Linked DNA regions of Xenopus tropicalis. The protein of the gene in region 1 binds, or shares a complex with, the protein of each later gene. Links are inferred from orthologs where the notes say so. Each region holds a gene or a part of one and is shown in the gene's direction. Other genes may lie near its edges.

What was found.
Region 2: prpf38a (region 1) and zmat2 share a complex: the UniProt entries of both Homo sapiens proteins name them as parts of the spliceosome B complex. The link is inferred for Xenopus tropicalis from reciprocal best matches to the Homo sapiens genes PRPF38A and ZMAT2.

Annotation. Positions count from the first base shown.
Region 1 is NC_030680.2:96,684,231-96,688,808, forward strand, and holds the end of prpf38a (pre-mRNA-splicing factor 38A), read left to right. Parts: intron 1-573; coding exon 574-600; intron 601-1,435; coding exon 1,436-1,536; intron 1,537-1,620; coding exon 1,621-1,669; intron 1,670-3,301; coding exon 3,302-3,344; 3' UTR 3,345-3,503; downstream 3,504-4,578. UniProt on the Homo sapiens protein: Involved in pre-mRNA splicing as a component of the spliceosome.
Region 2 is NC_030679.2:26,864,807-26,869,753, forward strand, and holds the start of zmat2 (zinc finger matrin-type protein 2), read left to right. Parts: upstream 1-1,858; 5' UTR 1,859-1,871; coding exon 1,872-1,889; intron 1,890-4,947. UniProt on the Homo sapiens protein: Involved in pre-mRNA splicing as a component of the spliceosome.

The DNA of each region.
Region 1 (4,578 bases):
CACAGACTCCTCTACGGGAGCTTGTGACTCTGAGGTGGAAAGAAGTGGCTGCGAGTCCGCTTCTAGCCATGAGTCTGCTTGGGAGGCCATTGGTGAGGGTTCTACCACTTGTGGCCTAGCCAGGTATGACGCAACGCTCCGTGTAGTTCGGAGCGGGGAGGCGTTAGACCCTTTTTTCTCCCTTTTCCGTCTTTTATGTGCCATCCAGAGGTCGTCTAAGGTATCTGGTTCTTATGTGTGCCGTTATTATACCCGAAAAGTCATCTGCGCGGTGATTGCTTGGGGATTAATCTCCTCCACGGTAAGAGCGCAATCAAGATGCGGCCATCTTAGATCGCGGCTCACTAGCGCCCCCCATATTTCTGGCTTCTTATCTGCTTCCATGTTGAGTGTAATATTGCTGGTTATTGATCCCTGGCTAAATATAATTTGTAATATTGAAGCATCTACCTCATAATGTTATTTAGTTCTGGGAATGGTTATCCAAATAATGTATAGAAAACTGTTTCAGGTGTTTATAAGTTTTAGACTTGAACTGACCTGAGCCTATATTTTTGTTTTTTCTTATTTCAGACGCAGTCGCTCTCCTAAAAGGAGAAGGTAAGTTTGTGACACATTTAATAGTCTCTTTATTTACCCTGTTTTAGATTTTTTAATAGAAAAATAGACTGGCTTGTGTAATGAATTCAGCATTTCAGGGGGTGTTTAATCCACTGGAAGGTGGCTTAAGGTCCCAATACACGGGCAGATCCGCTCGCTTGGCGATGTCTTGGTGGATCTTCTCCTGATATCGCCACATATGGTTGGGCAACATGGGGAGAATCCAGGATGGGCATAGGAAAAGTCGGTCTGGGGACCGCATCAACAAACCGATGTGGTCCCCGATCCAACTTGGTTTTCTAACCTGCACGATCGAGATCTGCCCGGTTTCAGGCCAGATATCGGTCAGGCAGGCCCGTTGGTAGTGACCATGCACGGGCAGATTAGCTGCCGGGAGCGGTCCAATCGTTCGGTCCGAAAATTTCGTGACTTTCGGATCGCCAATATGATATTATCGTGACTAATAAGATTTTTTTCGTAAGCATTTTTGTGATATTTGCGATCTTCAGAAATTTTTGTTTCCAATCCGAATTTTTCCCATTCGGGATTCAGTTTTCATAAATATGCCCCTAAATATTTACTTAACTGGTGGCAGCAGAGAGTTCTGATCTCTGGATTGCTAGATTACTAAACAGCTATTGGTAAACAAGTTGCTGATTAAAATAGAATCATTGTGAGATGTAACTACTTTCATGAGTCTCTACATAGTACTACTTGGTCTCAGTCTCTTCTCAAGTACTAGGTGGTGCCACATAGTATCCATTTTGGGTAAGAAGTGCAGGGTTTTTTTTTTTTTGTGTTTGTTAGTTCACCACCTTTTTGTTTGCTTTCATAGTCCTTCTCCACCTCGTCGGGAAAGACATAGGAGCAAAAGCCCAAGGCGTCATCGGAGTAGGTCTAGAGAGAGACGACACCGATCCAAATCCAAATCTCCAGGTATGATTCCTCAGAAACTGAATGTTTAAGGAATATGATGGAAAAAATACGCTTATTTTCCAATTTTTTTTTTTCTCCAAATAGGACATCATCGAAGTCACAGGCACAGAAGTCACTCCAAGTCACCTGAGAGGTAAGCTCCATACATGCTGTGAGAGATGCAAGGAACAAGAACACTGTTTGGTCTATTTTGGTGTAAAATTTAAGATAGTTAGTACCAGGAAAAATGCCTGGTTTTGCAGCCAAGTAGTGCTGTGTTCTTGTTAGTGGGTTAGGAAAAGCTGGATAAATGAGATGTAAATGGGGAGGGTGAGTAGGATAGGTCCTCCATTCTGTACTCAAGTCTTTTCAGTTGGGAGCTGCCTCATTAGGCTGCAGGGGAGCAGCAAATAAAAGAACATTGGGATTACACAGCATAGGTTGAAAGGTTGACTCACAGAAAGGGCTTCACTCTGAGAGCAGGAAGGTTTCCTGTCTGTGTTGGCGTTGGTTGCCTGTGAAAGGTCTCTCAGAGCAGGGCACAGGGCAGCAAGGCTTGCCTGCCTGTGAGAAACTCCCAGAGGGGCTGGGGGTGATTCCTGCCACTGCAAGGAGCAGAGAGGGCATTTGTGACCAAGGGAAGGGTCACTCAGAGAAAAGGTCTCTCAGAGCAGGGCACATGGCACAAAGGTTGCTTGTCTGTGCAAGGAACTCCCAGAGGGGCTGGGGGTGCTGCCTACCACTGCAAGGAGTAGAGAGAGCCGTGACCATGTGTATGCGTGACAAAACAACAAGGCCTAATGAGAAGCCAAAATGTGTCAGAGGCTGGCGAGCTGGTATCCCAGGAGGGGAGAGACAGCAGGGCTGGGTGAGTAGCCTGAGTGTTCTTGTGTATTAGAGTCACTGTGGATTGTGAGAAGCCCGGGACAAGGTTCCAGAGTCTGAGAGTTACCCTGGAAGGTGCTGATGAACTTTGACCTGTATTTTTTTTTTTTTGCCTCATGAAATGGAGTCCCTGTCTCTATGCTTCTGATCCTCTGCTACCCTGCTTACCATTGCTAATTCCCCCCAAAAAATTACGTGTACAGGCAGATAGCATGTCACAATGTATATAAACATTCTAAAATAACTGATGTCTTCTGAGAAAACCCATAAGACGAATATCTTCCTTGAGCAACTATAAGCCATCCAGGTTAAATCCTAAATATAACAAACATTCACATAGATTAAGTTTGATATCTTTGTTTTAAGCTGGGCTGCTATTAGTCAGACACTGGTCTTGTGGGCTTTAAACTATTACATTCCAAATAAAATATGTTTTTAAAGGGATCTGGTAAAATAATCAGGTTATTTTCAAGTGATTGTGATATACAGAATACCAGAAGAATGTCTGTACAGGTATGGGATCCCTTATCCTGAAACCCTTTATCCAGAAAGCTCTGAATTACGGAAAGCCCTATCTCCCATAGACTCCATTTTAATCAAATAATTCAGAATTTTTCTCTGTAGTAACAAAACAGTACCTTGTAATTAATCCAATCTAAGATATAAATAATCCTTATTATTTACAAATGTTTGTTGTTGTTGTTGATGCAAAACAACCCTATTGGGCTTAATTAATTTTTTTGTGATTTTTAAGTAGACTTAAGGTATGGAGATCCAAATTCCGGAAAGACCTCTTATCCGGAATACCCTTGGTCCCGAGCATTCTGGATAACTGGTCTTATACCTGTATAAATATTTTTTGAAGTACAAATGTAATGCATAAAGTTATTTTTCTTTTTAGGTCAAAGAAAAGTCATAAGAAGAGCAGAAGAGGGAATGAGTAACAAAAAAATCATGTACTTCTTACAGTCAAGAACTTTTTTGTATATAATTCAAGGATTTGTAGCTTTTGGAACCATGAACAATTCTGGAATGCTATTAAATGATTGGTCTTTTGATTGCTTTTATTTTTTTTTTTTAATAAATTGCTCATTGTTAGTCTATTTAATGTTGTAGGCTTTTATATCAATATATTATGATTTTCGTGTACCACTTAGCCTATCACAACATACCACCACTTTCAAGTAATTGCTGGAAAGACTTAAGGCAAATGCCCAGATGCTTGCTGAAAATAGCGCCATACGCTTCTACCTGTGCCTGCACCCGAATGAATGGAATACGCTCGGGTTCAGGCACGTGTAGCCTATATCCGCCGAAGATACGAAGTCTCGCGTTTTTTTGGCAGATATCGGCTTCATGTGCCTGCTCCTGAGCGTATTCCATTCATTCAGATGCAGGCACAGGTAGGAGGCGGATGGCGCTATTTTCGGAAAGGGATTTTAAGCTTGCCGTAAATATATGCCAGACTCCTCGTCTGACATTAGAATAAGAATCACTGGGAGGTACATTATGCACCATCTGTAGCCTGCTCCACTCTGAATGGACCCTTTTTATAAAACATGTGATGCATGTGGCTAGCTTTGGTCAACACAGTGAAAGCCTGGAAACAAGCAAGAAGATGGCAGTTGAGCACTGTGGAGAAAGTACTCTGGGTCAGTGCAAGTTTTAACAAAGACGTGCTAGCCTTGGGCTTTTTAGATTAGTATTTCATAATGGCACCCCCTACAAGTAATTATTTTCCTTTAGGGCTCTGGTACACGGGGAGATTAGTCGCCCGCGGCAAAACTCCCTGCTCGCGGGCGACTAATCTCCCCGAGTTGCCTTCCCACCGGCGAACATGTAAGTCGCCGGCAGGATGGCAGACGCGGCGGCGCGATTTTCGGCGATTTCCCAAAATCGCCCCGCCGCGTCTGCCATCCTGCCGGCGACTTACATGTTCGCCGGTGGGAAGGCAACTCGGGGAGATTAGTCGCCCGCGAGCAGGGAGTTTTGCCGCGGGCGACTAATCTCCCAGTGTACCAGAGCCCTTAAGCTGTTTTATATGCTGGCAATTATAATAACAAAATATCAACACCAGTGTTTCTCACTTTTATCCAATTCATTTTTTTGTTAGTCCTTTTAAAACACGCCTGCTAGCTGCTGGATGACTGCGCAAGTACAGACTGTTGAATACACTGG
Region 2 (4,947 bases), on another chromosome or scaffold:
ATGAGCAGCACAATCAGGCAGGGGGGTTAGAGCTCAAGTACCTGCATCTTTTTTCCCAACACAGCCTGGGGTTGGATAGGTTGGAGGGTAAGTTCAAACTCTACCCTCTAGCTTATCCAGTCCCCATGCAACTTAACTTTGTGACAAACAAAGCTGTGTAGGGGAAAAAAGATGCAGAAGTCAAGCAAGTATCAGAGCAGGCAGCAGAAGATAAAATACATACTAAGGCCAAGGAGTTTAGGGCAGGTGGCAAATATTATAATCAGTGTACAGGCAAAGGTTAATACCAGGCAAACAAGTATAGGCAGTGGCAATATTAGGGCCAGAATTAGGGGTAGGCAGAAGATGCACGTGCCTAGGGTAGGGCGACCAGATCAGTTGAAAATTCAGGGACATGTCTAATAAATACATGTTGCAGGGCAGTACTGATTGCATTTAAAATAAACTGCTCAGTTCAGCCCTCACTGGTTTTTTTTTTAGATGTGTCCCACAATTTTCAAGTGATCTGGTCACCCTACCCTAGGGTGCAACAGGGGGGGGGCGCTAGGATAGGGTTATCAGATCACTTGAATATTCAGGCACATCTCTAATAAATACATGTTGCAGGGCAGCATTGATTGTATTTAAAATAAACTGCTTTCAGTTCAGCCCTGTTCACTGGATATTTTTTTTTAGATGTGTCCCTAAATTTTCAAATGATCTGGTCACCCTACCCTAACCTAGGGTGCAACAGTGGGGGTGCTAAGCTAGGGTTATCAGATCACTTTAAAATTCAGGCACGCATCTTATAAATACATGTTGCAGGGCTGTACTGATTGTGTTTACATTAAATTGCAATCACTACAGCCCTTGTAGCAGTTGGATTTTGTAAACTCGTCCCTAAATGTTTTAAGTGATCTGGTCACCGTACACTAGGCACAAACCTATTTTAACGCTTACCCCTAGTCCAGGCCCTTCTCCCCCCCACCATCTGCTCATTTCTAAAAATCCCAGCAAGCAGGGCTGAACTGATAGCAGTTTATTTTCAATCAGTACTGCCCTGAATATTCAGGTGATCTGGTCCCCCTAGCCGGCTTGGCCACTGGCAATAACCAAGGCTTTCAGCTATAAATATATAACATAAATGTCCCAATTCTGCGGCTCGGTGACAGCAGGAGAACCAGGCAAATCTATGTTCCTAGGGGAAAAACCTAGGTATTTGGTTATTAAGGAGAGCACCTTATATGTTAAACAGACTTAGCAACACTTAAAAAGTAACAAAACATATCTACTTAGGGCACTTCCTATTAAGATCAGAATTTACCAATAAGTTGCTCAGTTTTATGTCCATTTTAGCGCTTTGCACTTCCCTCGTAAATGAGCCCTAATAAGTTTCACCTTTGGAATGTAAAAACTCCTATAGAAAAGCCTGTTCTCTCTGGCTCTACAGAGATCACGCCCTATTGCTAGATGCCCACTGTACATACTAATTTACAGGTACCTGACAGTACATACAACATGATCCCTACATGTTTAAATGCACATGTCACCTTCACCATCCATTCAATGGTGTCTGCTCTCCTTTTCAACTCTATGATTCTAAAGGAGGGCTGTCTGTTACCACTCTATCTACTCAATGGTCACTCTGTCTTAATTGCCATTACATACAAAAATAACAATTTACCACTAGCGTGAAGAACCGGCAATGATCTGTAGTTTCACGTTCTCTAGTGTATTTCAGGGAATGTGCCCAAAATAAAGATGGCGCAAGAAGCCGATGACAGAAGGATGGCTCTATCATCTGATTGGTAGAAGGTGTAACTAAGGCGGCTAGTTACAAGGTTCTTCCGCTTGACGTCATTTAGCGCGACAAGAGGTCTAGGCCGGGCAAGATGGCGTCGGGAAGTGGGGTGAGTATGAGGGCTTGGTAAAGAGCCGCTGTTTGTTCTCTGTGGGGTTGAATTCAGACGGATAGTGGAGGCTGGTAGTGCCTCTTTAGTTTAGAATTTTCTAGCTTTTCCCAAAAAAACAGCTTCCAACATCCTTAGGGCGGAAGAGAGCATGTTGTGTCTATAGAGCAACACGAACAATAACAAGAGAGCCGTAGGAAGATGAAGGCTGGGCTATCATTAATTACCACCCGGGCATTAAAGCACTCCCAGTTGGTTCCCTTGTGTAATAAGGAACTTAGGCTGAACTACACCTCGCAGCACCAAATCCAGGGATTTCTAGGCTGCCTGTTGGGTGGGGTACGTTTTGGGTCTGGTGTGTGTAAATGTAAGTGTGGGTGAGTCTCAGGGGAGATCCCTCCATGGCTATTTGATTTCTGAGGGAATTCACATTTTTGATTTTGGATGAATACTGAAAACTCCACAAAAGGACTCCTCTGAATCACACACTGAATCCAGACCCTAATTTTCATGTGCAAATTAGGGAAAAACTATAAACTAAAAAACGAAAAATAAAAACTAAAAATGAAGTATGAAAAAATAAAACCACCTGCCTTTCATTGTCATGTGGTCTAAAATCACAGGATTCTTAAGGGCTTGGGTTTGGCTGAATACAATTCCTGGCAAAAAAGACTGATTTGGTTCATCTTTTTTTCTCGTATAATCTGGTTTTAAGAGGAAAATGCTTTGTCTTCGACTATGCTTCTGTTATAACCCCTACTAGCAGTGAAGACTGTTTTACCTTCCCTTTAAGGGCTCTGGCACACGGGGAGATTAGTCGCCCGCGACAAAACTCCCTGTTCGCGGGCGAATAATCTCCCCGAGTTACCGCCAGTTGCCATCCCACTGGCGACGATGTAAGTCGCCGGTGGGATGGCAAACGCGGTGACGCGATTTCGGGAAATCGCCGAAGTTGCCTCGCGAGGCTTTTTCGGCGATTTCCTGAAATCGCGCCGCTGCGTGTGCCATCCCACCGGCGACTTACATCGTCGCCGGTGGGATGGCAAATGGCGGCAACTTGGGGAGATTAGTCACCCGCGAACAGGGAGTTTTGTCACGGGCGACTAATCTCCCCATGTGCCAGAGCCCTAAAGGAGAAGAAAAGGTATGATCACTTTGGGGGTGCCAAATGATACCCCCAGTGTTTATAATTTCTTACTTTAGACCCTGGCCAGTGCTCCTGTTTGCTGAAAATGGCATAAGGGATGCTAGTCCAAATTGCTTTCCATTTCTTGGGTCTTTGATTCAGCCCTGGGCTTGTGCGCACATGTGTAGTAGAGTGAAAAGCTGTTGCACGGCTGTAAAGAGGGTGTAAAAGAAAGACGGCTGATTTTTTAGAGAGTAGTACTGGGTCAGGGTCTCAGGTAAGCTATTTTAATCTCTGGAAGGGGGCGCCCACCCAGTGATGTGATTTACCATCACATATTGTTTTCTTCTCTATTGATATAGTGCCAACATATTCAAAAGAGCTTTACAGACATTATACATTATTCTCATCAGTGCCTGGACTTAAGTTCCTTATCACATTCGCACAGCATACTAGGGTCCTTTTTTATCAGGAGCCGGTTAACATGCCTGGTTGTTTTCGATGTGTCTAAAGAAACACACTCAGGCATGGTGTGATCATACAGAATTCTTGCAAGTAGTGTCCAGACAGAGATTCTAACTTAGTGGACTTAGATTGTGCTCAGGCCCGGATTTGTGGCGAGGCCACAAAGGGCCGGGCCTAGGGCGGCACAAATTTAGGGGCTGCATGCCGCCCTGCTGCAACGAAAATGTAACATTTTGCTCCCATACGGAGTAATGGGGACTTCTCCCCACTGCTCCGTATGGGAGTTGAAAAGTCCGCACATGCGTGCTTCCGGCTGCACCAAGGGGGAGAGGTTCGTAGGGACGGCCTCGGGGCGCCAGGATTTGGAATCCGGCGCTGATTGTGCTTCTACAGCAGTGATCCCTAACCACTGGCTTGTAAGCAGCCCCTTGGTTGGTGCCCCCAGTGGCTTTAAAGTGGGAATTCCCAAATTGGAGGCAAGTTTTGGTTGCATACAAACCTGGTGTAGTGCCAAACAGAACCTCTTGTAGGCTGCTAGTCCACATAGGGGTTACCAGATATCCAATCATAGCCCTTACTTGGCACCCCAAGTACATTTTTCATGCTTGTGTTCCCTCTTCTGTAGTATTGTTGACTGAGCTGTTTGCAAAAGGGTGCAGAAGTTTTACATTAATACCCAAGCATGGAAGACCATGAATGATTTAATATGGGATTCTAATTTATATAGCGTTATGTTTAGTGGAAAGTAGGAGTGACTTGGCAGATAAAGCCTATCTGCAATAATTAGTTAAAGTCAGTATAATATTCCCTTAAAACCCAGTCTTTTGTTGTTTGTGTTAGGAATCTGATTTCCATTGTCATCTTCATCTTCTGCAGAGCAATGAAAGGGGATATCCTCAATTTTCTTTTTTTTTCACAGTTTCGCACTTTAGGCTGTCATAGAAATGAATTATTGCCCATTCCCAATAGGCTTTATTTTCATATCTATACATCTGATTCCATTACACAATTGGTTATTTCTGCCATGATAACTAAAACATGTGGTCTGTGTAATCACTGGACGTTTTGTCTAGGCAGTCAGATTGAAATCTTTTGGTTCCTTACTAGTTACTTTGAAATGTAAAAAGCTATGCCTCATCTGTGTAAAGGTGGCCATACACGCACCGATATTATCGTACGAAACCTCGTTTCGTACGATAATCGGTGCGTGTATGGCATGTCAGCGAGCCGACCGATATCGCAGGAAGCTGCTGAAATCGGTCGGCTCGCCGATCGGCCAAGTTAGAAAATTTTGATCGGGCGCCATAGAAGGCGCCTGACCAAAATTCTCCCTTCAGAGCTGAATCGGCAGAAGGAGGTAGAAATCCTATTGTTTCTACCTCCTTACCTGCCGATTCAGCCCTGAATGGTGTGTGGCGGATCTGACGATGTTTCGTGCGACCGACGGTCGTACGAAACATCGTGAGA